3 linked regions of the Caenorhabditis elegans genome follow. The protein of the gene in region 2 interacts with the protein of the main gene of each other region in a pairwise test. Each region holds a gene or a part of one and is shown on either strand. Other genes may lie near its edges.

Evidence for each region.
Region 1: the proteins of myo-3 (region 2) and unc-98 interact in a two-hybrid assay, tested with the Caenorhabditis elegans proteins (one study listed by BioGRID).
Region 3: the proteins of myo-3 (region 2) and hmp-1 interact in a two-hybrid assay, tested with the Caenorhabditis elegans proteins (one study listed by BioGRID).

Annotation. Positions count from the first base shown.
Region 1 is NC_003284.9:7,569,414-7,579,487, forward strand, and holds unc-98 (Zinc finger protein unc-98), read right to left. Parts: upstream 4,177-10,074; 5' UTR 4,162-4,176; coding exon 4,138-4,161; intron 4,090-4,137; coding exon 4,012-4,089; intron 3,922-4,011; coding exon 3,811-3,921; intron 3,581-3,810; coding exon 3,512-3,580; intron 2,964-3,511; coding exon of another isoform or gene 2,944-2,963; intron 2,723-2,943; coding exon 2,588-2,722; intron 2,546-2,587; coding exon 2,363-2,545; intron 1,560-2,362; coding exon 1,227-1,559; 3' UTR 961-1,226; downstream 1-960. Other genes in the region: Apyrase apy-1, read right to left, coding at 7-150, 197-307; pcyt-1 (Putative choline-phosphate cytidylyltransferase), read left to right, coding at 2,944-2,963, 9,355-9,563, 9,827-9,943, 9,993-10,074. UniProt on the Caenorhabditis elegans protein: Probable transcription factor required for muscle structure.
Region 2 is NC_003283.11:12,229,062-12,238,600, forward strand, and holds the start of myo-3 (Myosin-3), read right to left. Parts: upstream 5,283-9,539; 5' UTR 5,240-5,282; coding exon 5,104-5,239; intron 4,720-5,103; exon of another isoform or gene 4,584-4,719; intron 4,529-4,583; exon of another isoform or gene 4,336-4,528; intron 4,035-4,335; coding exon 3,823-4,034; intron 3,754-3,822; coding exon 3,597-3,753; intron 3,550-3,596; coding exon 3,250-3,549; intron 3,152-3,249; coding exon 2,623-3,151; intron 2,559-2,622; coding exon 1-2,558. UniProt on the Caenorhabditis elegans protein: Essential for muscle contraction. Involved in ovulation likely by regulating the contraction of gonadal myoepithelial sheath cells.
Region 3 is NC_003283.11:11,841,095-11,853,759, reverse strand, and holds hmp-1 (Vinculin), read right to left. Parts: upstream 7,884-12,665; 5' UTR 7,883-7,883; coding exon 7,499-7,882; intron 7,455-7,498; coding exon 6,999-7,454; intron 6,953-6,998; coding exon 6,749-6,952; intron 6,677-6,748; exon of another isoform or gene 6,454-6,676; intron 6,354-6,453; coding exon 5,823-6,353; intron 5,721-5,822; coding exon 4,893-5,720; intron 4,410-4,892; coding exon 4,269-4,409; coding exon of another isoform or gene 4,221-4,268; exon of another isoform or gene 3,972-4,220; coding exon of another isoform or gene 3,864-3,971; exon of another isoform or gene 2,980-3,863; coding exon 2,879-2,979; intron 2,138-2,878; coding exon 1,990-2,137; 3' UTR 1,595-1,989; downstream 1-1,594. Other genes in the region: nphp-4 (uncharacterized protein), read left to right, coding at 10,135-10,260, 10,309-10,437, 10,482-10,563, 10,958-11,033, 11,083-11,273, 11,323-11,510, 11,680-11,816, 11,878-12,665. UniProt on the Caenorhabditis elegans protein: Required for cell migration during body enclosure and cell shape changes during body elongation. Required for proper localization of other junctional components, such as pac-1.

The sequences.
Region 1 (10,074 bases), on a different chromosome or scaffold from region 2:
TCTCACCTTCAAAAATCCACGAGAGACCAAACTTTTCCACTTCTTCCCGTCTTTGCTGTCATGATCCAAATCGGTGATCAACATTATTGAGTATTCTTTTGCTCCATCATCAAACTTCTTTACCGAATACAAGTTAGCATGGTTGATGTGCTGTAAATGGATATGTGCGCAATCAGCTGAAAATGTAAAGAGTTACCTCTTCCTGTTCGCTAGATTTGTTGAATTGGGTACCCGAATAAAAGGCAATAGCGGTCACAAACCCGAAAAGAAGGAAGTTGAAAAAGTTTGAGTTACTTTCTTGTGTCATACCTAAAAATTATTTTTGTGAGTCTTAATTATAAGCATTAATTGAAAGTAAGAGATTTGAGAAAATATAAGTAGAATAAAAAAATAAAAAATGGTGTAGTTTTCCGAGAGTACTTCACGGCCGCGTGGCCTAGTTTTTTCAATGGGGACTCGATATTAATAACGAACACAAGTGCGTGTCCCAAATTGCATTTGCTTTATTGAGTGAGATATCGTGGCTGTGAAGTGGCAAAATATTTCGAGAACCGTTAATTAAACAATTTTATACATTTTTAAATAATGAATTCAAAATGATGCAAAATAAATTTAAAAAAACGTACAACTTCTAGAACAACGAACAATTGAGCTGTCTCGCTATCATCATCTTATCATTTTTGCTATCAAAAAATCGGTTGTGGGTTGTCGTAACACATCACAGAAGAAAGATTGATTGTGAGAGAGCCGGACAACATTTGTGCTAGCGGTCAATGTCTTTCCCGCTTAACATGGTCCCAATTGTACGATTGACCAGGAATCGATATTTCAGGGAAAGAAGAAAATACCAACAAGACATGACGAGAACAGTATTTATAGAGTGTGTCTGAGTGCGTTGGAAACACACGATTTTTGTGCTTTGTAGTCAATTGTAGTTTATGTTGAACACAAAACGAGTTTCTGCTGCTGACCGTCTTTATAACGAGCGTCTTAAAAATGTGAGGAAAAGACAAAATGACAAGAAATGAGAAAACGATAACACTAAAGAAAAACGTTGATTTAGTTGAAAGAAAGAAATATGAGTTATATGAAAGAACCATATCGAATATACATTTTGAAGGACAAATATTGTTAAAGCTAGCCGATGTTGAAATATATATATATTTTACAAGATCTGGATAGATTTAAATACTAAATTAGAAAAATTTTAAATACTCAGGGGTTGCTCAGAATCGCGGAGTCACGTATCCGCTTGTTCTTGGGAATAAATAGTAGCTTCTGGAATCAGTGTACCCAACTCCTTCCCTTCCCATCATATAACGAGATGCTCGAGGATTGAAGTACTTCTCTCCACGATGACTGTACATGTGATATGCAAGACCACGACTGTCAGAGTAGCTTTTCGAACAATATTCACAAATGTATGGTTTTGAACGAACGTCGTTGTACACTCGGAGTGGATGCTTCGGCTCGTATCCTTCAGTAACGAAAGCTGGCTGTGGAAGATCTTGCTCGGAGACCGGTAGGACTCGCTTCTTGCTTACTTTTATTGTGGTTGTCTGAAGTATTTCAAATTATATTGGTAATCTTCATTCTTCTCACAAATGTATTCCTTGTTAAAGTAAAAAAACGGTTTCGGCTTTTTTTCCGTGTGATTTTTAACAAAACCAAACGAACGAAATTTGAAATACTACTTCTCAAAAATTACTTAAAAACTTGTTTATGGGGGTTCAAAATTTTGAAAAGGCAATACCCAAATTTCAGTCAAAAACTCGAGTTGTTTCAATTTTTCCCAGTCACAAAGACTTAGGTAGCAAATTGTGGTAATTTTTGGTCCCTAATTGCTTGAAACGTATCTTCATTAACAAAACAACGTAAGGTAAACGACCAAAACATGTTTTTAAATTTGGAACTTTCTTCGGTTTCATAACTTCTGTTTCATAACGTTTTCTTTTTTTTGCACTGAAATTCCATCTGTTTAACAGTTGTGATGCAAGAAGTAAGTGCAGTCGTATCAAATTGCACCCTCTCACAGGCTATCAGCAATTTTTTTTTGTTGAGAAAAATATTTTTTTTACGTCAGAAAGCCAAGACACACAAAGTTTTTGTTCACAATTTTCTCACATCAAGGACTATGAAAACCAAATACAAAATTGAAAAGCGAATGGCTGGATGAAAAGGTTTTGATAGATTTTGAGTCGAAAGAACTGAAGAATAAAAAATCAAACATTAAAACAGCCATAGCTAGATTCTGTTGATTTTTTTCCGAGAAGTTCGTAATTCAGATTTTGTTTCAAAAAGCTCTACTGATTAGTAAAATCTAGTAAATTTATTATTTCTCAGATTTCTCAATTAGACAAACCTCTGGAGCACCTATCAATTCGAGTGGATCGTCCGTGTGCTTGTGATATAACATTTCCGTGTAAGAAAAGAACGTCCTTCCGCATTCACACTTGTACCCGTCAATTTCTGAGTGCTGAGCGGCATGATATTCCAGTTGGCAAGCAAATTCAAATGAGTCTCCGCATTTTCCACAGACATATGGCTGAAACAAAGAGTTTCTATAAGTAATCCAGCGAATGAAAACCTGTGAAACGTCATGTATTCTCTCGTGTGCACGGAGAGTGTTCATGAAGTTGAATGTGAGTCCGCAGAAACGACACTTGTAGAATACAAATCCGTTGTCATCTTTTTGCACACTAGTTCCGTCCTGACGCACTTCCTGCAATAATCACTTTTCATCGACTAAAAGAGTCTCTTTTTCATTTAACGCCTTCTTCATTCCCTCCCTTCTTCAGTTTTTCCTTCATCTTATATTTTTCTTCCTTTTATTCCCATTTCCCTCATTCTTTCACATTCAAGCTGTCAATGCTCACATCTATATTCCGCACATTTGGTTCGTGTGCTGAAAGTGAGCGCATCAACTTCAACAACAACAGCAAAATGTTTATTCACAAACAAGAGTAAGTCAACAATACCCATGTGAATTAGCTTGGGAAAGGAGAAGAATGGAAATGGATAGGTTGAAGGAAAAAAGCATAAGGAGCAGCAAGAAATTATATTCCAAGTTAGTATTTGAAAATGATAAGAGAAAAATAAAATCACAAACAACAAAAATCATAATTTGTTTTTTTTTCTTCTTAGCATCCTGCTGAGCTTTCTCTTCCAACAAATGTACAGGACATGGTTACTTCGACAATGGGCTAAATTTAAATTAAATTAGAACTGAGTTTGTCTTTGTGTATTCTGGCAAATAAGTTTTTACTAGTATGCTAATTATAAAATTAGAAAATAAAACCTTTTCTAAACTATCTAAAATTCAGCAAAAAATTAACAATTTCTCTCAAACAACTCAAAAAATATAGTTTCATTTTCTCCGGAAATTTTGCCTGTACAAACCTATAGACTACATTCCTAATCAATGTTTTTTTAATTAAAAATTATTCAAAGCACGAACTATTCAACAAAAAATGCACAAAAACACACACTTCATAAAAACAATAAAACAAACCTGTTGATCACTGCCATCCAAAGCACCGCCACTCGATTTTGTTGGAGTTTGAGCACTTGAACTTCCGACCTACAATAATTTACTTGATGCTTTTAAAATCAAATTAGGATGGCGCTGTTTTAAAGTATTTAAGCGTTTTCAGACACTATTCAGATAATTCAACATTTTTTCACTTGTATCCAAGGGTTGAAAAATGTCAGTATGAATCCAATCTTAAAAACATTTAAAAAAATTTGCCTTAAAACCTATCAAACATTTCAATCTCTGAAATTCTTTTTTTTAAATTTTACCAAACTCACATATGCTTCAACTGTTGGGGCAACAACTTTCATGATCTCTTTGGGCTTTTCCTTATTTCCATTTTCTGACGATTCTCCATTGATGCCGAAGGTTTCTAGACCATGAACCATCTGGAAGGTATTTTTTTAATCATTTCGCAATACAGACACCCCCGCGTTTTTCTCCGGTTTTTCCGTCATCTCTCGGTTTCTCTAACTCACTTCATTGTTCTTCACGGACATCTTGGCAAGATCACAGGCATTCATCAACTCTTCGAAGTCATCTCTTTCCTTTCTTGCCTAAAAAATTCAAATTTAAGTAAAGCTCACAGTGATCAAGAACAATACCTCTTTGAAGATGTCGTCATCCATTGTTGTATCTGGATATCAGCGGTTAGTCGTCGGAATGGGGGTGAAAATTGTCAGAGGGTAGAATGCTCGGTGTGGCTAGCTGGGGTGCTCAACACACAGTGTAAACTCAAGAGACTCGTCGCGATCGAAAAATGCGAGAAATCGCCTCTGCAATCTCTGGATCTGATGTGCTCTTTTGAAATGCTCCCGCTCTCTCATTTCCTTTCCTCGTTGGATGTTTTGCGGGACACTTCTGTGTCTGCAGTCTCCCTCAATCTTGCTCAACTGTCTTAAAGAAGAAAGAGATCTTGACGACACAAGTAAAAAAAGCGTCTAGATTGCAGTGCTCGACATAACTTCAAAGCGGAATCATGTTTCTGAAATGAATGGCACAGATGCTAGTGTTTGTGGGTGACATACATTTTGTGTAGTACGTTGAACACGTGCAAATGATTTGGAGATGTGGGTACAAACAAAAGAAAGAGTACTTTTTTTTTGAAATAATAATCGAAAAGGATCAACGAAGTTTATATTTTAGAAATTATTCAATATGAATTGTAAAAATATTAAATTACATACTGTAAAACTATTATTTGAAACTATGCAGGATTATGAAGCTATTGTTTTAAATGTGAAGCATCGGTCAGGGTGATTTTTTGTAATCACTCCTTTATACAGTGATAAATAATCTAAAATAATTTTGCTTTCAAAAAGGTAGTTATCATTCAGTTTTCACAAATCACAATCTTGGAACACGGCAAAAATAGTTTTTTCTACATACAAGTTTCATATTCTAACTATGATTTGATCATTTGTATATACATATATTGTAGACATTTAAAAAAATGCAGAATTGCTCTAATATTTTTCATAGGTTCAACTTATTCTAGTTGTGGCAATTTACCACAACTTTGAATGAAAATTCTCAAGAATCTAAACGGTTATGTGGGACTTTTATGACTTTTAATTGGAATAAACATTTTACTGGAGCTGCACCACCTTCTGGATTGATCGGATCTTTCTTTCATGCATCACAAGCGGGCTAAAAGTGCACCAATGTTGAAATTTTACACAACAAAAATGCATTTAATTGTTAAATTTTTAACAAGTATAAAGTAACCAGACCCTTTTTCATTAAAAAACAGTTTTCCGTATTTCCTCTATTAGTCTTGCAGCCTCTATTAGTCTTGCAGTCTCTAATAGTCTTGCATCCCTCTTTTTTCAAGACCAGTAGTACTTTGCGGAAACGTCAGCAAATTTGATATTTTTGAGAAAATAACCTAGAAAATGATCAAATAATTTATGAAATATTGCAAAAGTATATATTTTTATCGTTCAGCAAGCTATCGAGTTAAGTTTTCAACAAAAAATAGGTCATTTTTTCAAAGATGGGGCATTCGAAAACTAGTCTTGCAGCCTCTAATAGTCTTGCAACCCTACAGACCAATGGAAAATTAGTCTTGCATGCAAGACTAATAGAAGAAATACGGTATATGAAACAGTCTCACTACTCGGGCTAAATATAAAGTTTTAAAAGAGAACAAGCGACTCACTACGAAATTTGTTTTTTTTTTCCAGCACATTTTGAGTCAATACGTTTATACCACGAACCAATAGCCCTACTTTATAAAATCCTCTCTTGTCAGAAAAGCCGGACCTCCTAGATTTCCATACTTACTGTGTACTTGTGGCCTCACAAAAACTTCTTACATAAGTATCTTCCCTTATGGAACAGTAAAACTACATTATTACCGGTTAAACGTTCCCGCCCCGCCTTCGCAGCGTTTATTAGCTTTTTACCCCTTGATAAATTTCAAGGGGTAAAAAGCTAATAAACGAATAAATAAAAATTTAAAAAAACTGGTACATTTTAAAACGTTTTTATAGGATCAAATTATTGGTTCTTTTTTTAATACTACATTCGTTTTTAGTGTCAAATATTAATTTCATTTTGTGGGCAGAGGAACATTTTGAATATGAATTTAGAACAACGCACCATGTCTATATTTCCGGTTTCTTCGCGTTTATTATCAGAGAATTACCTGAAATCCATCACACTCGATATAAAATGCCTTAATTCATAACTTTTAAATTCAAATGACAAATTCTATCTATTTTTATTACCAAGTAACAGTCAACATATTTTGTCTAGTCCGTCAATGAAAACATTCCAACTTTCCGTCTCAAGTTGATGAATAACTATGAAAATGATTTTTTTAAAATCACCTTTATCGTTTTCCAATCCGAAAATTAAACTTTCAATCCGAATTCCATCTTTTCCAATAAACGTGCATTACCGCAGTGGTGGCCGCTATCAAATGCTATGAAATCAGAGTAGTTCCAGAGTCCAGAGTCTCATTTTTCATTCTTTTCTCTTCTTCTCATAAACAACTAATTTCTCTCCCAGCAAACCACCCTAACATTTTCTGTAATGGTTCCTCTTGACTTTTGCTCTTAATGCACTACACCGACTCGGCACGTCATATTTTCATGGTAGAGAGAAACATGAAAAAATGAACACGAAGAATGACCTTTTTGTATAGTGATTCTTTGAGTTGTATCTTTATCAGTTGGCCTCAATTCTTTCGTGTCAAAGAGAAGAAAGTGTGGACAGATTGAGGGGAAAATGAGATAAGAGAACGTTTGGCAAGCAATAATGGATGGGTCAATGAAACCTCTAAGAGTACAGATCTATTGCGTCAATTATGGCATGAATCAAATCACCTCACTAACTTTCGTTTTTTACCTTTGTACCGTTGGGTTTGGAGTTGTAATGGGTGTTCAAGAATCCTAACACTAGGAGCAAAACTTCTATCAGAAAAGTTGTGTAATAAAAATTTATCTTGCCGTTTTTTTTCAATTAAACTTTTGAGCAGTTGGGGTCAACCAACGGAATCTTATATATTTGAAGAAACTTTGGTGGCTCTGCAATAAAATAATTTACAAGGTGAAGTATGTGTTGTTATGATTAATAGTGTTTTCCAAACGTTATCAATGTATTTATCATTGGTATATCACATCCATTCTTTGAAATCTATGATCACTTAAAATAGTTTTTCAAAAATTTTCTTTGACGCGTATTGTTGATAACAACAATGACAGTACCACTTTGGCAAACAAGACTAATGAGATAAATACTATATACCTATGTAAATAAATAAAGTTTATCCAAAATTATCGTTCATAACAAGTGCTTTTTAAGATGTGGAATTTAAGTTTAGTTTTAATCTGACAATTTGTGTTTTTTTATAAGTTTTTAGAAATGCAAATGAAACTGCTATCATAATTTTGACTTATCAATTAAAAAAACTTTGACGTAACAATTAAAAGGCACACGTTGTTTTTGGGTCTCGCCACGATCTTATTCATAATGACCGCGTCAGGTGCCAAATTCTACAGACTTGTTAAAAGTGAAGTAGCACCACTAGGGAAGTTGTTAAAACTACTTATAAGGTGTCAGTTTAATCCAATATCAAAGTAAAATTTTCAAAAAGTTGTTGAAAAGTTGTTATTTTGTTTTAAAATGATCTTTACTAATTTCTTGCCACTGTTTTGGTAGTCTTCGATCAAACAATTTTACATTGGTATTTTATAGTCTACTAAGTAAGTAAGTAAGTAAGTACTTATGTTTCAACATTAATTTCAAATACAAATATTAATATTCCCCCATTGTAGGGATTCGAACATGCGGCAGTCTATAGTTTTCTCAAAAAAAAGCAATATCAGTAACTCTCAATAAACCTTTTGTATATTTTTTCGAAAGGTTTCACTATGAAATTTTGTAATTTTTGCACAATTGAAGTGTTTTTTTAAGAATGTCCCTACTGGTGATACTCCACTGTTAACTGGATGTAGAAAAATGTTTATAAAACTTCCAATATCTAAAAGGCACCAGAAAGCCAAAATTTATATTTTCTGGCAAGAATAGACACAAACATTTCAATTCCTTAGACCTTCTCATAATTTCTTTAATGACTCATCTGTGACTTTCTTTTCTAATCGCGCATTCAAATCTTCTTCTTCATCTTTACCACCTCTCTCTCTCTCTCTCTCTCTCTTTGGCCCATCATTTCCCGTGGCCTCCATTTTTTTGTGCGTGGTGTCATTCGACCACACAAACAAACACAACGAATGTAGTAGTATAACCTGGTGGCTCATTGCCCAGATGGCTGTTCGCCGCGTGTTGCGCTCTGTTCGGCTGCCCTTCTGCTTGGTTTTTGTCGTCTTCTCAAGTTGTTTTGTTTTTTTTTCTTCTTTTCTCTGTGTCTCTCTGCTTCTTATCCTTACAGCGTCTTAATTATACGCTTTTTCGGAAGATGCTAAAAAACAAAAAATATAAATGCTAACATTTTTTCTTTAGTTGCCTGGGTCCCATCACTAGTTCTGTTTGCCCATGTGTCACATATTTTTTTTGCCATTTTCTCTTGTGTGTTGCGAAACTCGAAACAAACAACAAAGAATTAATGCATTAGCTGAGACATTTTTTTCCATTTATTGTTGTAGTTTTAGAGTTAAAATTATGCGTATAATGTTCACGTCAGATTTTAGATTTTCAAAGAGTTTGTCAACTCAAAAAAAAGTTTCAAAACTTAAAAAAAGCCTTTGTTAAGAAAAACTATTTTTCTGTGAAAACATCGCTTAAAAAGGGAACTCAAAAAAGCAAAAAAGCAATGTGCCACGTTCATCTTTTATGTTTCTTTTTCCGCTCCGTCCAGCGTCTTTTTTCCCCCCATTCGCCTTCTCCATCGACCCTTTCTAACACCGCTTCTTCCCTTATTTTCACTAGTTCTCTAATTCGAAAATTTTTGCACGCACTCTCCATTGGCACGTTTTGCGTGGCTTCAACTCACAGAATTTTAAATTTGTGACATCACTTCTTTAAAAATTTGCCCACGTGGCGTTGCACACTTTGTCAGGCTCGGCTTAGGTCGATTGTGAAACTTTGGAAGTAGAAAATGGTGCGATTTCTCTGAATCGCACGATAACCGAAGACTTTCGCCCTTGAGGCGTTGCGCTTATCAATTTTTTTTACGCCTTTTGATAAGTAGAACACACGTACTTCGCAATTTCGTGTGCTTCTCCAAATGAGAAAATAAAAAACCATGTCTACTCCCCCTTGTTTTCTAGTCTACACAAACTTTTGTGTTTCTATTTTGTTATTCGCTTCAAAATTAAATTCCTAACAAGTTTCATATTTAACCGTTGATCGTTCAGAAAGATGCCACAACGAAAGAGAACAATGGACTCACCACAAGAAGAAGATGTGGAGGTGAAGAAGAAGGCGACGGAAGTGGAGTACGTTGTCAGGTCGTTGGCATCAGATGAGCCAGCTCCATTTTCCGACGAGGCGTTGGCGATTACGACAAGAGAAGCGGTGGATTATTCAAAGAAAATAACTTTGGCAATGGCAGAAGCTAATGAGGGTGAGAATTTTTAATTTGAAAATATTATATTGGAATATACTTGAAATTTCTAATAGTAAAAAGGAAAATTAGCCATTTGCGAAAATTTGCGAGTTATAACTAGAAAATACCGTCTACGTTCTCGAAACATTTGAATATTAGAAAAAAAAGAGTGTGTGCACTTAAAGAGTACAGAAGTTGCCACGACTCTCTATTACTCAGTTTTTCTTCGTTTTTTCTCTTTATTTGCTTCAAAAATATCTGTAGCTTTCTGTAACTTACAGCTGGCCGACCTGTGCGAATTTATGCTGATGGAATTTATGATCTGTTCCATCATGGGCATGCGAATCAACTTCGCCAAGTGAAGAAAATGTTCCCAAATGTCTACCTTATTGTTGGAGGTTTGATTTTTTAATCTTTTTCAATTATGATTTTCATTTCAAATTTCAGTTTGTGGTGATCGCGACACTCACAAGTACAAAGGAAGAACAGTCACTTCAGAAGAAGAACGTTACGATGGTGTTCGGCACTG
Region 2 (9,539 bases):
TATTCTCGTTGTTAAGACGGTTCTTGAGAGCAGCAAAGTCTTGAAGTTGTCTCGATTGCTCATCGGCCTTAGTTTGGAGCTCAGAGTATTGAACTTCAATGGTCTTCAAGGCTTTCTCGAGATCTTGGCGAGAGCGAACTTCGCTGTCAGTGGCATGTTGGGATTCCTCAAGATCACGTTGAAGCTTAGATTTCTCAGCTTCTGACTTGGCTTTGAGCTTTTGCAGAGTCTCAAGCTGTTCCGTAAGTTCGGCAACGGAATCTCCATGACGCTTACGGAGGGAAGAAATGGCAGTTTCGTGGTTCAACGAATCTTCTTCCTTCTCACGGCGAAGCTTGGCAATTTCAGCTTCACGTTTCTTGTTGGCTTCAAGTTGCGCAGCAGTGGCTCCTCCTTGTTGCTCCAATCTTTCGGTGAGTTCTTCCAACTCGCGTTCAGCCTCGCTACGGGATCTATCAGATTTCTGGCGAGAGTTTCTCTCGGCTTCAAGTTCTTCTTCGAGTTCGGCATTTCTAGCAGTGAGCTCCTTGATAAGCCGTTGAAGCTTAGCAATGATAGAGTTGTTCTCAGCGAGCTTAGCATTGGTGTGGTGAAGATCTTCTTCCTTTCTCTTCAAAGTAGTTTCAACGTCATGCTTCTGCTTGGTAATCTCATCGATGTTCTCTTGCGCAACCTTCAAGTCTCCCTCGACCTTTCTCTTTGCCTTTTCAATATCACCACGAGATCTCTTCTCGCGGTCAATATTTTCCTCGAGCTCATCCATTTGTTGCTCGAGCTTGTTGCGGATCTTCTCAAGATGGTTAACCTTGTCTTCTTCAGATTGAAGATCTTCGTTCAATTTGCGGTTGGATTCTTCTTGATGCTTCTTCTCCTTGTTAAGCTTTGCGACAGCTTCATCTTGATTAGCCATCTCATCTTGAAGGGAGCGGATGTTATGATCACGGCTCTGCTTCTCCTGCTCAGCCTTTCTCAAAGAAAGCTCCAAATCTTGAACATGCTTCTTGGTATCAGAAAGTTCTTGATCAGTCTTCTTCTTTTGGCGAGCAAGATCCTCGTTACGTTCTTGCATGTCTTCAAGTTGTCCAGTGATATCGGACAGCTTGCTCTCAAGGGTAGCCTTGAGTTGGTTGAGCTTCTCGTTTCTTTCTTCAGCATCGGCAAGATTAGCCTTTTCAGTTTCAAGGCTCAAGAACAATGCGTTCTTCTCTTCAACCAAATCGGCAACTTGGGATTCCAATTGGGAACGAGCAATTTCTCCGCGTTGAACTGCTTCTTCGAGCTTTTGGATCTTTACGGCAAGCTCTCCCATTGCTTCTTGTTCCTTACCGGCCTTGAGCATTGGCTTGACCTTTCCGAAAAGCTTGAACCATTCCCAGGTTCTGAGTGTGCACCAAGCACGAACATTGCGTTGAACAACAAGCAATCCAGTTTGTTGTTCGTAACGACGACGAACTTCGGCCTTGGCAAGGTAAGAACGAATGCGGGATTGGAACATGGTAACGATTCTAGAAAGAATCTCGTCACGCAAGTCCTCAAGCTTAGCAAGAACTCCGGCCTTGAAGAAGATCTTGGTCTCTCCAACCTTGAACTCTTCATCGGTCAAGTTTCCATCAACAGAGATCTTGTCAAGGATTCCGACGGAAGCCTTCTTTGGATCAGATTCCTTAGCGGCATCAGCGGCAAGGATAGCGTAACGATGCTTGAAATCTGGATAGAGCATTCTGTTGGGGAATCCCTTACGGCAAATTCTGATTCCTTCCAACACTCCGTTGCATGTAAGCTGGTTAAGAACAAGCGCAGAGTCAATAACTCCAGAAGCCTTCTTCTCGTTTGGAATGATACAACGGATGAAATGTGGGTGAGTTTGATAAAGCATGTTCATCAAGTTGTTGAGAGACTCTCTGTAGATCATAGAGACGGTAGCGAATGAAGATGATTTTCCACGCTTTCCTCCTGCAGTCTGTCCGGCTTTAGCAGCCTCGGCAGCCTCTTCTTGAGTCTGGTAGTCTTGCCAGATATCCAACATCAAGGAGTTGTCGGTAGAGTGCTTGAGAAGAGCGACAGCGGTGTCGTTGAGAGGATCCTTGTTCTTCTCGAGGAAGTTGGTGGCGTTGTAACGGACAGTTCCAGCGTAGTGAACAATAGCGAAGTGAGCATCTCCCTGCTTTCCCTTTGGTGGCTTTGGCTTCTGGAAGTTTGGATGTTTTCCAAGATGTTGATCAAGAAGCTTCTGAGCATAGGTCATATCAGTGGCCTTTGGAACGATACACTCCTCATCAAGAATAGAGATGATACCGAGTGGTTTCTCAATAAGCTCAATACAGGCTTGAAGATCAAGTCCGAAATCGATGAAGGTCCAGGCAATTCCTTCACGCTTGTATTCTTCTTGTTCAAGAACGAACATGTGATGGTTGAAGAATTGTTGAAGACGTTCGTTGACAAAGTTGATCCAGAGCTGTTCAAAAGAGTTCAAGTCGAAGATTTCGAATCCAGCGATATCAAGCACTCCGATGAAATGCTTACGCTCAATCTCCTTTGCGTCAAGGGTCTTGTTACATCTAAAAGTAAAATAAGTAGAATAATATTTACCCTAATTAAAAATATTTGCTCTTTGTTATTTACCTGGTGATGATCCACTTGAACATACGGGCATAGATAGCCTTGGCAAGTCCAGAAACGGCCCAGTTGACCTGTTCCAAGTTCTGTCCCTTATTGACCCATTCGGTTCCGACACGGACACGTGGCTTGGTCAAAGCCTTGAGGAACTCCTCAGCTTGGATTCCGAGCATGGCAGCAGCGTTGAGAGCATCTTCCTCACCGTCTGGCTCGGCTTGCTCTTCACGTGGACGCTGCTTGAATTTCATTTCTCCCATGTGCATAATTCCAGCAGTGGAACGGTAAAGATCCATAGTCTCGTTGTCTTCGAATCCCATGATATCGAAAGCTTCCTGAGTAAGTCTCATCTCCTCCTTATCATCCATTCCTTCGATGGTAAGCTCGGCCTGCGAGCAGAAGTGATAGTAAGTGATGTCGTTGCTAAGCTTAAGCTTTCCACGGAGACTTGGATCGTTTCCAGACATAATCTGGTAGAAGATGTGATAACAACGCTCTCCTGGTGCCTGACGGACGACACGAGATTTTTCGAGAAGATCTGAAAATATTTTTCTTTTTTGAATGGTTTCACTAGTTTCAATTTAAATTCCTCCAATCTCATTTTTTCTTAAAAACTAATCATAAAAGATCACTCACAGTGTTCAATATCTCCTCCAGCCAACTTTCCAGATCCAGAGAAATGAGTTCTGATGAACTTTCCGAAACGGGAAGAGTTGTTGTTTCTGACAGTTTTAGCATTACCGAAAGCCTCCAACACAGGGTTCGTTTGCACAATTTGCTCTTCAAGAGTACCTCCCTTCTTTCCATCCTTGGCTTCTTTGCCGGAAGCAGCTTGCGTGGCTCCAACAATAGCGAAGTAGGAGATAACCTTCTTGGTGTTCTCAGTCTTTCCAGCTCCAGATTCTCCGGTGATGAGCATAGACTGGTTCTCCTTGTCTGAAATTTGAAAAATAAAGTTCTAAAACAATTAAATTTTCACATACCTTGAACCATGTTACGGTAAGCTTCATCAGAGACAGCGAACAAATGAGGTGGCATCTCATTACGTCTCTTTCCCATGAAGTGCTTGATTACAGATTCACTGTAGATTGGAAGACGTTTGTATGGATTGATTACAACACAGAAAAGTCCGGAGTATGTCTGAAAATTAAGTCGGTTCAATTTTTGAATAGTATTAATTTTTTTTTTGAATAGTTTCAATTTCCTTACGTAAATCATCAAATCCTTGTAACGATCCTTGAGATTTCCCAAAACAGAGGCCTCATTCAAAAAGGTCAAGTTAGCCATATCCTCGGTCTTGTCGAATTTTGGCGGGTTCATCTCTTGGCATTGATCTTTTTTGACGGTAATCTGGTTTCCCTTCACAGTTACCACGGTCACCTGTTCGCCGGTGGTGGATTGGATCTCGGCGGCGACGAATCCTGAAATTTAATATTAGCCTCCAAGAAATATATGTTTTGTCGCATGCGGCTGATTAAAATCAGAATGTTTTATTCGATTATGTCATTTAGTTTTTGTTTCTGTACAAAAATCATTATTGTGAGATTTATAAGTTATAGAACAATCTTTTCTTTTTCATTTTCAAATTTAGTATTTTTGATTTAATCCTAGTTTTATTTGTCATCCTCGAATAATAGATCTGGTCAGAATTACCATTTTATTGACCTTGACTTTTTAAATTCCGATTTCATATCCACATTTCAATATTAAATCTTCAAAACATGTACATATTGTTGTCCATCCATAAAATGTGGGACGTCAAATATCTCAATCTTAAATTCCAAGAAATCTCATCATCTTTCCTGCCAACAGCAGAAGCCGCAGTTCAAACGGCAGGAGAAGCTCTTGCTCCGGCTTCATAGCGTACGTGTGTGCCTGCCCGCTTCTCCGGAAAGATTACAAAGTGCCGTTGTGTGTATGTGTGTATGTGCTTCATCAGATGACCGAGAGATGAGAGAACCTCAGATGTTCAAAAATCCGCCACCACTGGTTGCCCGGCGGGGTCGGTGGAAAGTGTGATGTATCATAGATAAAATGCAGATCTGAGAGACACAGATGAAAGCGTAGGAGAGTAGGATGAATGTGGACACTGGCGATGAGAGAGAAGGTGTAATAATAGTTTTTGTTAATGGAATGGACATAATGAAAGTTAGCTTGAATTGGTTTGGTAAGAATTAGGAAATTGAACAAACAATATCAAAGCAAGAGTTTTAAAGTGTTTTTTGATTAAGATGTTCTGTTTAGATCAAATGAAAAATTTGTATCCAAATTAGTTTCATTAACAGAAAAAAAGTATTTACAAACTTAACCATCATAACTCTTTGCAATACCACTATTGTAACCCTTACATTTTTAGCGTTGACAACTGATTTCTAAAATTAGAACATATCACAGTTACTATTAAAATTATGGGAAAATATTCTTGCCAAATATTACAGCACGTGGTTCAAAATTTTTCTTTAAAATTTTCAATTCGAAATCAAGACTTACCATCTTCTGGATCCGGAATCCAGCAGTTCTTCTTGGAATCAAAAGGACGAGCAGCAGTGGCAGCTCTGGCCTCTCTCGAGATTCCCAAGAATGGGAATCCTGGATCATTTTCGAATGCGTCTGGATTTCCAGACATTTCTAGATGGATCTAGTGGTCGTGGGTTTGATGGCTCCCTGCCCTGAAAATTAGACGGTAAAAGTGGAAGAAGAAGCTGGTTGACAAGCAAAGAATCCAAACGAAATGTGAGAAACAATTGAAATAAAATAGGAAAAAGAAAAATGGAACACTGCTTTTCAGAGATAAAAAAGTTATAGACATTGCTATAAGTTTTTGGAGAACAATGGTAAAGCGTGGTGAGAAGTTTTAGGTTTCAATGGGATTTGAAAGATGAGAGAAGGTATTGAAAAGGGACCTCAATCATCTTTTTGTGCCGTTTTCATAGCATCAAAAACCAGAAGCATGCTTCTTCTTCTTCTTCTTCTTATGTTTCTTCTTATCCTCCCACTCCGGTAGGCTCTCCTCCAATATCAATTGAATTGTATTGAGCCTTCGGAGCGAGTTGTGGGGGAGCAACAGAATCTATACAACACGCACACACATCATCGTTGAAGATAAAGAAGAAGAAAACGGAATCCCGGGAGCTATCCCGCCCTCTCTGCACTCTCTCTCTAATATTCTATTCTTGCTCTTCTATTTTCACTTCGGGAGCCCAACCAACACCTACCCTCCTTCGTTTTCCGATGAACTTGTGTTTAGAGACATAGAGATATCAGAGAAGGGACACAAATTTTGTTTTTAACAAATCGCCGAGAAATTTGAAGAAAGGTGATGAAAAACTGGGTGCTATTGTTAGCCAGTGGGGAATGTAACTGGGAATACCCTAGGGTTATGAAACTTTTCAGTTCTTACACAGGTAAAGCTGGATTTTCCAAATCATCAATCGGTTCCTCTGCAGTCTCGATTAAAATATTTGATATTTTCGTCAGGGATTTTGAAGACAAAAAGTTACTTTTTTCAAAAAAATGTAAAACTGTAAAAGGTAAAAATTTAATAGTTGGAAATATGTGATAACAGAGACGTTTACCTGATGGCAGGAGGTGTGATCCATTATATTCCATTATATTCGCGCACTCTTAACATTACACTAGTGCTATCTGAACAGTTGCGAAGAAGATCACAACAACAGTTTCAGATTTCAAGTTTTCCTGATTGCGCACCGTGTTGTTCATTTAACCATGTTTAAAATTAAATATGAAATAAGGTGCTTTGAATAATTTTTAACGATGCTTGAAAAATAACTTCTTCTACAAAAATGGTTAATTTCTATGTACAATTTTTCTTTTATAAATTATACTGACTCTCAAACCCATTTTTCTGTTCTTTGTTTTCTGTTTTTCATATTTTCTCGACTTGACTGTTTTGCACCCCCTCTGCAATCATTTTTGTTGACCCATACGTTGCCATCACGTACCAAGTCCAAGCTATGGTATCTGTTAGCAACAGTTGTCACTAATCACATGGCTCTTTTTCTCTGTTTTTATTCATTTTCTTCAGTATCTCGTGAAGAAAACAATGTGTTGATTGGTCTTTCAATTCTTGCAACAGATGCATTAGATTCAGGGCGCCGGAAGTGCAAGAAGTGGGCGCTAGTGAAGAATTGAAAAATATGCCAAACATCTGGATAAAAATAAAAAATTAACTTGCAGATAAAGAAAAAACATTGTGGTTGATCAGAAATGATAATTGGTTGGAAGCCAAACTTTAACGTTGGTTGACCAAAAATACATTGAACTAATTGGGTTATTCGTGAAATTAAAACGTATATTTCAGTGCACTTTTTGACTAATTGTAACCTGAAAAATATATATGTATTCCAGAACAGTTTTTGACCTTCTTACTCTTAGAAATCTTAAATATGTATTGAAAAATTGAAATGATCGTAACACAGTCAGTTTGGCCATACTATTTTTTTGGGTTCTAAAGTCAGCGGAGCGAAGCTGATTGCTGAATTTTTTGAGCACAATACCCAATATGTACTTCGTGAGTTCCGAAAACATATGAAATGTAACGAAACTTGAAGATCTAGTTCATCACATAATCCTGAAAACACTGATTGTGAAAAAGCAATCACACACAAAACTCAAAATCGGCCACCATAAACCTTTTTGCGGCCAGACCCTTTTGAATTAATCTGTGTGCCTTTAAGAACGCGTTTCAGAAATTGCAAATATACAATTCTATATCATTCAAATAGCATCTGTTCAATGATCGGTAGTTTCAGAACATATTCCAAAGATCAATTGTCATTTTAGAACTGATAATTAAACTTTCTTCACCTACTTCTATTTTCAGGAGATTAGTATTTTAAGAACTATGACGTAGTGGAATGTAAAACTATGGCACGTGACAAATTATGCAGTTAATTACAGAATAATCTCTAATTAGCCTGCACTTTTATTTTCGAAAGAAATACTCATGTTTTGTCGGGAAAATTATTTTATTCAAGAACTTATTATAGCCGGCAGTGATAGAGTACAGGTTAAAATAAATTACTGAAAATATATGTCAACCTGATCTTTGTTGCAGCCTTATCAAGCAAAATTCAAAATTAACGAAAACAGAGACTATAATCACTTGTTTCATTGGTTTTCATCAAACAGTTCAAATAGTTCAGAATGGAGAAGTAATTGAGAATTTATTTTTTTATTCGGTTTGACTGATTGCCTACAATGGTAAAAGATATTCCAATATTTCGATTTTTAATTATGTTTGTTGCATTTTTCTGTCTAATGAGTATATTTTCGAACTATACAGTCATAAATTTTACATTCATTTGTATGAAGAATGACTCATCTGGTATTAGGACATCTCCAAATGGAGTAAGTTACTGAATCAAAAAAAAGTTAACGCCTATTTCCAGACTGAATACAATATTTATGACTATTCGAGTGATGAAAAAGCAGAAATAATATGGGCGGTAGCAATTGGAACTGTACTAGGAACTGTTCCATATAATTGGTGCTATGTTAAATTTGGAGCAAGGTAAATATTTTTGGAAGTAATTTCTAATACATATTAACATTATTCCAATAGGTTCACATTTCTCTCGGCTGGAATTCTCTCATTTATATCGACTGTATTAATTCCCACAATGGCTTCAACCAACTTCTATCTACTTTTAATCATTCGATTTTTTCAAGGAATTTCTTATGCAGCAGACTTTGCAGTTATTGGAATAATTTGTATGAAATGGGCTCCGCTTGACGAGAACGCATTTTTCGTCTCTGCTCTAACGATATTCTCACCGTTTGCCACCTCAATTACGGATTCGTTAACGGGATGGGTAGGTTCACTAGAATTAGTATAAAATTTAAAGTTTTGAATTTTTATTACTTACTAAAGGCAGCATAAGTGGGAAGAACTAATTCACTAATTGTTCAGTTTCCCATATTTTAGTTCTGCACAACATCTTTTGGATGGGAATCTTCATTTTACGTACACTCGATTGCTAGTGTTATCTGTTTTATTTTATGGGTTTTTTTATTCGGATAATCCAGCGACTCATCGATTTGTTGGGACTCGAGAATTGGAACATATTCAAGATGGAAAATCACTTGAACATTATGAAACTAAAAGGTATTAGTTTATCAAAAACGTATAACCAGCCGAAACTTCAGAATAATACCATACTTTGCAATGATAAAGAATCCGGCAATAATTTGTTGCTGGTTCAATGCTTTCATGGATTTATCAATGTCAATCCTTCTGATAACCTACTCTCCAATATATTTCAATCAAGTTTTGAAATTTACAATCGAACAAACTGGATTTATTATCAGTATAACCAATTTTGCACAGATCCCTTTCAAATTACTCGCTGCGTATATTAGTGATAAAGTTACATTTATTAGTCCTCGTACTAAAATGCTAATTTTCAATTTTATATCATGTGGTATTGTGTCTATTCTATTTGGAATCGTTGGATTTGTTGATGAAGCTCATCGCTGGTGGGCTATGACCTTGGTTACAGCTGTTAACTGTTCGTTTTGAAATTATTTTTGAAAACTATGGTATATGTTTAGGTATGATGTCTACAAACTGTGGTGGATATTATCAATGTGCAAGATACGTGGCATTACAGTATGCGGACGTCGTGATTGCTGCAATACAATTTTGCAAAGCAATTGCATTATTCTTTGTTCCAGCATTAGTAGCTCTGACAGTTCACGATGAGAATAGCCGGGCACAATGGGCAACTGCGTTTTGTATTAATTCAGGCCTATTGCTTGTGGTAGGTGAACATTTTAGTCTAAATAATAAATTTTTAAATTATTTCAGGCAACGTTCACCTCATTTTTTTTCTTCTCGGATAAACCAGCTGATTTTACAATCACAAAAAAAGCGGATGATGCAGAACAATGTTGCAAACTATAGA
Region 3 (12,665 bases), 390 kb from region 2:
TTTTGGTCAGGCAGGTTTTATTAAATATCATTTACTATATATATAGCGCTTATTCCGTTTGTCCATAGTTTGTAGTCTATGTACTCTTTGTAGTCTGCGAAGTTTTAACTTCTGGAGAGATAGTGAGTTGGGGTTAGTGTAGGGATATAGTCGAGGTACTGTAGTGGTACAATGGTGGTACGGTAGGAGTACTGTATGATTACGGTAGTTTCAGAAAAAATGGTTTTCAGCTCCAGAAGTCGGGGGCCGCGCCGGAGGTGCGGTCCACGGCTGGTATTTAATATTTGGCTTAATGCGCTAATCGAATTTTAGTTTTACCAATATTTGTTATAGTTTTCGTGATAAACAGGAACAATAAGTAGACAAGACAACTTTTAAAAACACTGGAATAAGTCATAAAATAATTACTAGATAGATAAAATTCAAAATATTCAAAATTGAACAATAAGTTTGCTATGAGATTTAATGGAGTACAAACCTGGGTGTTCAATTTAAAATATGAGGATATCCAGATGAGAAATCTCAGTTTACTAAATAGATCAAGTGAGCAAGTTCTCTATAATGTGGCAAATTAAAATATCTTTAAAAAAACCCATTTTTCATATACAGGTATTTTTAAGGGTATTCAAAATAAGGAGACAATGATCAAACATAACTGATTTTTGAAATGTTGCGAGACCAGCGTTCTTCAGAAGAGCGCAATTGCATAAAACAGTCAGAGTTTCCTAATTCTAGCTAGACCTTTGGAAATCCGGGCAACACTTATTTTGGTAGAATGACGTCACTATATATCTTCTACATGATTGACTGTACCAAGTGGTCGTGACTTCGGAACACTCAAAAATGAGGCTGCCACATTTTGGAGATTTGTAGAGTTACTGTACTTTGTAACGTAGTTCTACTAACAAGTTTCTAAATAAGATGTTCTATGGTCATCCAAAACAATGACGAGAGACAAAAAACCAGCCAACTTTCGCCCCAAAATAATGAGACTAATAAGGACGCTGGAGCAAGATGAGCGTACAAAATAGTACTAATTAGTATTTGGGTCACCACCATCACTTTGTCTCTCGAAAGAAAAATAAGTTGAATATTCTAGAATCTCGTTGGAAATTCTGTAAGCAGCGTTCCATACACTTTAGGCACGCGATTTCCAGGATTTTTCTGCAGCAACAGCAGCAAAAAAAAAAACGGAAAACCCGGAGGCGTAAGCTTTCAGGAAATTAAAAAGTAACTCGCCGCGTGTGCAAACACGGAAATGCGCAGGAAATTAGGGAATTGAAATTGGGTCTTGAAGCGAAAACATGGGTGGCAATATGGGAATGTGTGAAAATAGTAGGGGATATCCATTTGGGAAGTCTCTCTTGAAGAAAAAAACAATTATGTCCTCCTCCCTTTCTGTTGCTAGTAGTCCAGGAGAAGAGAATAAGGGGAAAAGCAAAACGTAGTACAAATGAAGAAGGAGGCGAGGGTGGAAGGAGAGTTGTTGCACACACTTCCGTTTAGTACCAGCTGCTCGTAATGCTCAGGCACAACAATTTTGACGGTGCCAGATGTACGAGACCTTTTTGATGTCTATATACATAATAAAAATAGGAAAGAATTGAGTTCATCTAATTTGAAAAACTTGTGCACATAGATCAGGGAGTTTAGAAATCAGAATCATACAGAAAAAATCGTTGAAAGGGTGAGGTTGATAGTGCGAAAATAAATTGTAAAGATGTAAAGTTACCTGATTTTCAACAGTATGGATTATGATATTCATGGGGGAGAAAAATGAAAAATGCGGTGATAATGGTGGCGGTGATGAGCTGATAGAATTTAGAGCATTAAACAGAAATGAATACAAAAAATACACAGATACAAATTTCTAGCTGAAGAGAATTGAAAGAATGAGAAAATAATAAAGACTCGGGCATATAAAGGATGTGTGGAAAGATTTGGAAGGGAAAAGTATGAAGATACATGAATAAAACTGAAATAAATTATCTATAAACGACCGTTTATTCTTTGTTGATGCCGGCGATCAAGTTCCTCGTCGTCACTATCACGACCCGTCTCAATCTCGTTACGCGTAAACTCGGCGAGCACTTTAGCTGGTTGCAAAGGTCGCCGTTCGGATGCCCGTCTGCAAACTCTTTATAACATTAGTCGGCGTTCGTTGAATACATCTTTTGAAAGGGGGATTCTAATTAATTTTCTGTAATGGAATAGATAATGATCAAGAATTAGTGATCACCTATCACGGGAACACCAACTTCTGAGTATGCGTATTGCACAACATATTTTTGACGAGCAAAATATCTCGTAGCGAAAACTACAGTAATTATTGTAATGACTACTGTAGCGCTTGTGTCGATTTACGGGGTGCATCTCAAAATCGTAAAATTTAGTTTAATAGGTTTAAAAAATGTCTGAAATCTTATCAAAAATTTTTTCAGGGGGGGAAAATTTTCTGAAAGAAAAGAAAAATTGTGTTTTTTGATGCTTTAAAACTTTCATTTCAATGTCCGAAATCATCCAACTATTCATCACTTTTTATGAACATTGTCGCTTTTTTTTTGCTTTCCGAAAACTCAATTTGCATTTATGATCCTCAAGGGATACACTTTTGCTCAACAAGTCAAGAATATACATTTTGGTGTCGCAGCTCTTTCGGCTTTCACCACTTTTACCACAAAAAAAGGGACTTGGGACTACTGACAATGGCAGCTACGTGCCATTTTCTGGTGGCAGTGCTATTTTTTATGAATTATTCAGGGACCGACTACTTTTTTTCACATGGCTTCTCAATGAAGTGTGTCATATGTCCTTTTGCAGGCAAAGGAAACACTTATAGAGGGATCCTTGATTCAAAAAAAATAGATGAAAACGTTACCTGATTATAGCATTATTCTTTTGTGGTCGAATTAGTGGTTGTTTCTTTGGTGGAGCCATTCGCCACTCGACACGTACACTGTTGGCATTAGGACGACGGAACTGCAAGAATAAGGATGAGTTTCAGGAAGTTATCAGCAAAGAATTCCAAGCATTCGAGCAATTTAAGAAAATGAAACCAACAGCAAACAACATCGAGACACTTTTCATCAACAATAACACATATTTTACGTTCGTATCAATTTCTTTCAAGTTTTTTTTTCAACTTAATCTTCTTTTCTTAGTTAAAGTTGCAATACAATCTAGTTTAAAATGTATGAGTTTTTTACGGGGGAGTATAAGATCACAAGACCGACATATTGGGGGATCGATGTCCACACATCAAGACCGATACAATGCATTTTTAGAAAGTTAAATGTTTTTTTGTTGGGAAAACGATTTTTAAGTGTGAAGGGAAAATAAGAAAGGGATGTCCTTACCAATTTGAATTAACATATTTAACTGGAATTGTTTTCTTTTTTTTGGAATATAATGAAAATTAATTTGTATTTTCTAGGATTCAGGAAATCTATAAAAATCTGAGATTTTGCTTTTAATTTTTGGCTAAATTCCATGTTTGAATTCGCACCAAACTGAGAGAATTCAAATAGGGAATCGCCAAAAATTGAAAAATCTGATTTTCGAAAATTCGACATTTCATTCTTTCTCTTTTTTGGGTATTTCTGAGAATCAAACTATTCTGGATTTTTTTAAAGCAAAATCCCTACTCCATTAAAAAAAAATCGTCAAACATTAATAGTCTTAACCACTGATTTGAACTCAAGACATAAGCTTTTTTTAACTATAAAAAATATTTACCATTAAATTACGCAGCAGCCAACGTAAATTTTGAGAAAAAAGCAAAAAATTAAATTCGACATGCTCAATATCTCTTTTTCTCAAAAACAACATCGATAAAACCACACAACACGATATTTAATGCTTTCTCATTTTTTCTCACCAGATTCATCCATCGGACTTTCATAATTAATAGCTTTGTGAGCATCGCTAAGCGCAACGGCTGATTCGACTCGAGCACGTTCGCGTTGTGCACACTATTGAGAATGTTTTTTTTTTTTTTTAATTTTATTTATTTAATTTTCTAAAACTTTTGGGTACACTTTCTAAAATCTCAAAATTCAGTGTACAAAAGGCAACTGGTCTATTGGCACTTTAAACCACGTGTCTACTCAAAAGAGTGGGCGAAATACCATCTGATTTGAAATGAATTACGTAAGCAGCCGTTATCGTCTGTACGAAAAAAGAAATGTGTGATAAATGCTGGAAAGCAATAGTATCAGACATCAAGTGGGAATAATAATTAATGTTTTGTTTAAAGAAAGGGAACCAACCTTGGTACTGGCAATGTATGCAGCTTTAACAGTCTGTACAACAGCAGTTAAAAGATTTCGAGCCGTTTGAATAAGAGACATTGCAGAGTCAAGTGCAGATACGACAAGCTCATTTCCAACTTGAGTCACATCAGCTTTCACCTGAAATATTACTTTCTATTAAAAGTTTAAAGTTATATTTCACATGGTTTTTTGAAAGCAATTTAAACAAAACTTATTTATAGTAAGTATATGAACAATTTTCTAGTATAAGTGAGGCCAATCACAATTTTTTTTTCATTTTTCATGGCTTCAGTCTAGAGCTTGGTTCGCAAAAAAAACGCGAAGTAAAATTATATCTCTACTGAAATCGTTAAAAACAGTTGAAACCTCTTTTGGTGAAATATCACACTATCTATAAGTTTTTTTTTTTAATTCTCAATTTTTTCAAAAACTTTTCAGATAATTCTGAAAAATACGAGATTCTTTTCAGTTTTAGTTTTTATAGACGCGTTTTTAATTGTGAATCTTTACAATTTTCTTGAAAAACTAATTTGACAAATTTAAAAAACCCCCGAAACAAACAATTGACCAAAAACATTTGGTACGCTTTTACAGCTCGTGGCACCAATTAAAAAAACTCACCTTACTACAAATATTCAGTTGCTGACAATATAGAGTGATTTGTGACAAATATGCGAGCAAATCCTTTTTCGTCTGCGAATCAGCACTTTCTTCTCCAATCTGCCGTGCCAATGCATTTAGTTTTGATCCATTAAGTGAGATTTCTTGTGCTGCTCGGATAACATCCATTGTCGTTTTCAATGGCCCACAACCTCTTGTGAATTCTGTCATACTCATCATAATCTTACACATATTATTGGCCAATGATATAATATCATTTCCTGTTTCATCCCACTTGGCAACTTCTCTTTCGAATCGTGTTTGTGTTACTTTGAAGATATCAATTTGTGCTTGAATTTTCTTTTTCTCTTCTTCTGGCAATCGTCTCATCAGATTCTGTTGATTTTCTTGTTCGGATATCGTACGATTAGCATCTGCATTTGCTGCACCAACACCATCAGCTTCATACTCTACATCCGAATCAACATCATTCATACTTCGGTTCATTAAAAGTGCATGTCGAATGTCTTTAACTGCATCGTGAACTAATGTACAAGCATTGATAAATTCATTCATTTCTTCTTCCTTTGTTTTTGGATCCCATGTAAGTCCGTGTGCTTCTTGACGGTTGGCTAAAGCGCTCGCACGCTCAGCGAATTGATCTACACGTTGAGTTTTCAAAATCCGAACAGCTTGCTTAACAGTTTCAGTGTATTCAGAGTTCTGAAGGAAGTCCATTTCAGCATCGACAACGTCACAGACTCGGAGAGCTCGTCCACGTATCGATCCGGCAGCACAGTCGACAGTTTCACAGTTGGCCGCATTTTCATCCGGTGTTGAAGCGTTTGCCTGGAAAATTCAGTTTGAACGTCTCAAAAGTTGACGAATTTAGCGAAAACTATTTTTGTTAATTTTCATTAAATTTAAAATTTTGAGAACTAAAATACTTACCGTGATACCTTTGATTCCCCGCTCACAGTCTTCAACAATATGTGCTTCACTGACAGCCAAAAAGTCGTCCAAAGTAGTGATATTGTCAAGAGCAGTCGTTAACAATCTCACTTTGTCAAACCAAGCATTTTTATAGGTTTCCATGTTCTCTTGAGCAGTTTTTGAAGTAGGTTGATGGCAAAGTAAGATGGCAGCTTGAGCAACTTGTGGAGCAAGTTTTTCAAGTTGAGCAGCCGTATGCTGAATGACACTAACACTTTCAACATCTGATGAAAGTTGACAAGAAAGACGAGCAACTGAAACAATTTCATTTGCATGCTCTTGGAACATCTTTGAACGATATCTTGTATTCTCTTCATGGCCTTCTTTAGCAGCTTCTATCAGTAAAATAAGCGGTGTACGGGTATCCAGGAAAGCATCACTTATATGATCTACAATTGCACGACGAAGGTGTCGCCGGAGATCTTTTGTTCTTTTGTGTACTTCTGCGATTCCAAGAGGAATATCATCATTATCATCTCTTCGGCCGGTCTGAAAAATTACAGATTTAAAACATAGTTAAACAGGTCGTAATAAGCTTTAAATTTTATTGTAAAAACTTTGTAGTCTCTATATTTTCTACTACTACAAATTTTTTAAAGAATTTCCCCGAAATTCTAAAAAAAACATTTTCCATGTCTGAACTCGCGGTGGTCATTTTTTTTTCTAAAAAACGGCTTTAGTTCGAGTTCGGTTAACAAACAAAAACAGTTGTTCTCGCCCTGAGGGACAAGGCGTCACACTTGAAAGAACGCACGATTGTTTGTTTGTTTGTTCTCACCGTCTCCATCGCCCTTTTGTGAAAAAGATGCGCTTCTTTGAATGTTTTTTATTTCTTTTTATTTTAAACGAGGCAACAAGTCAAGAGATCAATAGAAAAAACTTACAGATTTTTCATATTCGGTCAAAAGTTCTTGAAGAGCTTGCCGCAAATTATTGCATTCAGCAACAATTTTTTGTTTTCGATTTTCACGAGTGCTTTCAGCATCGGCAATTGAAGCAGAACCACTAACAATTCGTTCACAATGTCCTTCAAGATCTGGACGATCAGTTCCTCGACGATAATGGGCTGGATCAATTTCGATTCGATTCTTAAAATAAATTATTTGTCTTATTATTTGAAATTTTTAAACTCACTTGAAAAGTATCGATTTCATTGATAAGATCGCCTATTCTTCCATATTCAGAAAATGTTACTTTCGGTTGTTGTCCGTTTAAAACAGATTCAAGAGCATTTAAAGCAGAATGCATTTCATCTGCAGTGTAATCACGATTTCTTCGAGCTTCTTCATGTTCTGGATGTCTTACAAATGTTCGTGTTGAAGTATACAGAAGTGGTGCAGTCTGTCGAAGTGCTGATCTTGCTGCTAGAAGATCATCTCTCTGATTTGGTTTAACCAAATCAATGGCTCGTCGTCGAACAGTGATATCAAGTTCTTCGATTTGAGAAATGAGAAGATTGTACAAATCATCTACTTTGATTTTTGTATCCGCTTCAATCATTTGGTGTGCAGTTTCTCGAACTTCATCTACTTTATCAACTATCACTTTTACATCAATCGAGTCGGCAAGAATTAGGAATTTAGCGACAGCCTGAATACAACATTTTTCAGTTAAAAGAGTACCTAAAAACTTACAGTCAACAAATTTCTACCAGAATTCGTTGCAATAGCTCGTTTGTTTGTTGAAGTTGAATCTCTGACAAAATCTCTTCCAGTTTGAATCATCACTTGCCCAGTATCTTGAACTGCTCCAAGAGCTTCGTGCAATAAATCAATTGCGCGTGGATCACTGTTTGCAATTGGGCATTTCGAAATTGCAAAGCTTCCCGTTTGAAGAAAATTAGCAACGGCAGCATCAAGAGTGGCGACAAGTCCTTCAGTAGTTTGTCCAGGTTTTAACGGAAACGTTTCAGTGATGTTGGTCACTTCATTGATTAATTGAGTAATTTGTTTCAAAACATTTTTCGAGCGCACTTCGTCGATGTTGAAATACGCATGAGAATTGCCATTCGCAGGCATTCTGAAAATTAATAAAATTGAAAATTCAGATTAGAATGCAAATAAAACGAAGAGAAATAATATTTATATTGAGATGAAATCAAAAAATATAAAAAGAAATACATAACCTTACATTAAAGTATCGATTAGAACTACTGTTAGATTTGAAGGCGCACGATAAAGAAGGGGTGGTTGGTCTCAAAGAGATCCAAGAGGGTACTGTCACCGTTAAACTTTATTGGCAAACACAGAATTTACTTATTCTTTGAGAAAATGACTCATATAAAATAAAAATCTTTACTCTAACTTTTCAAAAATTAAAAATTAAATTTTCAATGAAAAAAATAAAAAATCCTTTCGCAAAATAGCGAGAAACAAGTGTGGTGGGGCCTGTGAGGCCTTTCGGGTGTTTACTCAACGAAAAAACAAAACAATTAATAGGGGATTATGTTTCACATGCCGGCAATTTAGGAAATAACTATTTTTTAAATAAAATTTAAGAAAAAAACAAATTCGAAAATTAAAATTTCGACCGAAAATGAAGAAACTTAGTTTTTATTTGCCATGTTGAATATATGTTTCACACTCAAAAATTTTCAAATAAAAAAGTTGCGAAGCCAAAAAGTCACAAAAAGCAAACTTTTGAGGTATTTGCGAGTGAGAAGTGAATATGGTGAAAACGATGATTCCGCACCATCAACCGGTGTACGAAGACACTGTTAAATATAGAGAGAAAGAAGACACATAAAGAAATGATGATTCAGTCGGGTTGGCCGGTCGGTCAGTCAGCGGGTGACGAGTGAGCGGAGAGAAGGGTATAAGAACGGACGAGCGGCGGGAATAGAGGACGAAGAGGCAAGGACACTGGTCAATGGAGATGAAGAGACACAGACATTGGGACGGACGGAAGCAGGACGGTTCCCTTCGGGATGAGCAGAGACTCGACAGATGGAGAAGATGACCGAATTGAGTTTGTTTGCCCGACTCCCATGGATTATAAAATTGGGTACGTATGGCCTATGTTGGGGCAACTGCAGCAGCAGCGTGTGAGTGTGCGCCCCGGAAATAAAGGACTTTTATGGAAGGAGTATTGAGAAGATGATGGAAAAGGGACAAAAAGTTTCCCTTTTGTTTTGACGTCTTCTACGTCTTATTCGGAGATTTCGAGGGATAATTCTGAGGGATATGGAAGGACAGTGAATTGATGCATCATCATCATATTCTTATATTGGGTATTGAAATTTAAATTTGAATACGACCGAAACAATTTCTCGTTTCAAAAAAGTGGAATCTGAGTCATAGAGAAGTCTGAATCACGTTTTGTACACGGCAGCAGCTGTTTGTAAACTTTGAATCGCGGGGGTGAACTGAAGTGAAAAAAAAGAAAAAAAACTAGGAAAAATCAGGGAAAGTACATTTTTGAGATTGCATTTTTCTGAGAACCTGAACTTTCTCAGATGATATCAACAACATTATTAATCACTGCAACACGATCTGTGCTATTGTAAAAATATGTTCAATAATAATTTGATTTAGAGTCTATTTTGTCCCAATTTTAAGAGGTTTCTCCTGTCTAAACTTTCATAGACAATTTACGGAAATCTAGTAACTGTTGCCGGCTTATTGAACTTTTTCACTGGAGTTACTAAGATACTTATAGAATTTTTACGAAGTGTGGCCAAGATGTTCCTCAATTCAGCTTGACCCCAGGTAGTAATTTTTAGGAACCTTTCCAGTTTACATTTAAAAAGTTTTGACCAATTAAAAAAAATTAGTTGTGAGTTGTTTCCAGAAAGGAACTGGAGTTTCTCATCCAAAGTGGCTAACCATACTTCGTGGAAAATTGTGATTTATATTTATTTAAAGGATAACGGCATCATTTCAACATTTCAAAATAGAAAAGTACTTAGTTTTCTGTAAAAAAATTTCGAAAAAAAAATCAAGTGATTTGATCTAATCTTGTTCTAACGACGACTCTCAATACAAAATGCAATAGCATAATCAAAACTATTCAGTATATAAACATTTCCCAACAATTTACACATTACATCAAATTAATGCTCAATATACGTAATCCAACGTGTTCCCAGCAGCTGGGACTTCTCATTTCCATGACAACCAGCACCCGCTCTCCAATTCGTATACTCCTTCTTTTCACTCTCTATCGTATTTCCTCTATCGTTCTTCTTGAACGTTTATTTTTTAGTTTCTATATATTATTGCCTAGAAACTAGCTGAAAATACTAAAGTTTGTGGTAACAAAGTCTCGAAAAATGTCGGTCAACGACTGGTATTCGTTGTTTCTGGCAAACCGGCCAGTTGAAATGAAACGTAATGTTTCGAGAGGAACTAAAGCTTTGTGTTATTCAATGTTCATTTCCAATTTGACATCTCCACAGGTATGTGTAAACGATATAATTAATTAATATATGATTTTAATACTTTAGCTGACTGAGAACATTCGATACCAGATTAGTGCTTTTTTATTCGACACGAAGACTTCTCAAATGTTTGGGAGGCAATGTAGAACAGAATGGATTCCAGCGAATAGTAATGGAACTTGTGTTTTTAATGAAGTAGAAATTGTACAAGTTTGTTTAATAACTGGAATATGTTGCAGACATTATATTTTTACTCAATTATAAACAGCAGAGATGTGCTTCTTATTCTTGAATTTGTGGAAGAAGGATCAGACGAAATAAGTAAGTTATTTAATTGTTAAATTTTTAAAGGAACATTTTAAATTTATTTATCATAATGTTTTATTGGCTTTTCATTCAAAATAATATTTGAAAATAGCTTTTTAGCTCCTATTTGTCTTTCAGTCATTATTTTTTTAAATAACTTCTCAATAATTCAGAGAATTTTCCGAATCATTATGACCATATGTTTCAAAATAATGCACAATTTAGTAAATTTATACTAACATAAGTTTTATATCACGATAAAATAAACTCGCATTAAAAATAAACATTTGGAAATCACTAATTGAAACATTTTTCTTCCTTGCATAGGGCAAATACAATAAATAAATTAGATTTTAAACTTTTCTAGATGGAAGAACATTCGAAAACCCGAAAAGTACAAAAATTACAGCGCCTGCCACAAGCGTTGGATGGTTTTCAACGCATATCGAGAAGAAAACGCCCGTAGAAATATCAAACACTAAAATGTGAGTTTTTTTAATTATTGCTCCAACATAATTTTTCTTATTACTTTAGTTTCGATATATTTGGTGGAACTCCAAAACTATTAATTTTTGATAAAGAAACAGTTTTAAAACCAGTTGGAAATGTTGAATGTACATACAACATATTCGAAATGCCACCCATATTCTTCCAATGTTTGCCTGAATTTTGCATTGTTTGCGACAAAGACATTATTCCTGGAATAATCAAAGACAGTTCTGATGGTTAGTTAACAAATATTCCTTTTTTTAATTTTTTAATGTTTTGTGTCAGAATGGTGGTTGAGCACGCCAAAAGAGATGCCAACAATTCCCGCTGCAATTGATGCAATTGTAATTCAATTCAAGAATAATGTACCTGAATTAGAAAAACAAATTACACATGATATTGAAAAAGAATGGGCATTGAAAGAAGGAGGAACTCTTAAACCAAAAGCAATCATAATGGATAGAAAATTGAGAGTGAGTTTTTTGGTGAAAAGTTGGCTAAAAACATGATATTTGCTGTTACACGGAAGGTGCAGTGAAACTTAGGAATCATTTTTACATTACTTTGAATTCGTCCAGGTTTTCAAATATTTTTGCAAGAAACAAGTAATCGTTTATCTTTTTATTTATACTTTATTATTAGATCGGAGTACACAATGGGTACACATATGTCACTGAACCATTCACAGTTGACTTGGAAATAATCTCCTCAAATGCTGGTGATACTCTAAGATCGCGAAAGAAACCTATTGACTTTGGGAAATCATCAAATTGGGAAGAGTAAGTTTTAAAATCTTGTCCTGTCGTAAAAGAAGAATTTTTCATAATTTCATAATTTCAGACAACTGCTATTTCAAGCTGCTGGAAACCCGCGTCTGGCACTTCGAAATCTGTATGCGGATCCAAGAATGGCTATCATATTCTTGCTTGAATACACCTTTCACCGAGAAGACAATCAAAGCCTTAATCAGACTATTCTAATCGGATGGGCTGCATGGACTCCATTCTCAGATGGAGCCTTTTCTGGAAAAGAAGTGGAGACACGAGTTAGCTTTGTTGGTGGTCCACGTCCGAATCCAGAAGGCGTTTTATGTTATAAGAACGTATTGAATCAACCAGACTCCTTGAAGCCATTGAATGAGAAACTTGAAATTTTTGTGGACTTTAAATTTTATGAAAATGGAAGAAGTGTTCACAATACACCAACATCAAGAAGGGCTGCTGACTCTGCAAGAGTTCAAACTGGAAGATCAGGCGATAATGGCCAATCTGCTAGATCAAATAGAAAATCAGTGAAAATAGAAACTCCTAGAAGTCCAGAAAATTCGAATAGATTCCCTGCACTAGTAGATACAGGAAGATCAGTTTCATCAGTAGATGAATTGAGATCAATAAATGAGGATTTGAATAGATTCATAGAAGAACCAATGGAAATTCCAGTTCAAGACGTAGTTGTTGCAAAGAAACCAGTAGAAGAACCTCTACCAATAACATCAGTTTACAAGATTCCTTTTGATGAGCTCAAACCAATAAACTTCCCAAGATCTGCCCATTCCATGTTTGCGAGACAAAACTTCACTCAGTTGAAAGACAGGAACGGATCACCACCAAATACTGAAGATGTGACAC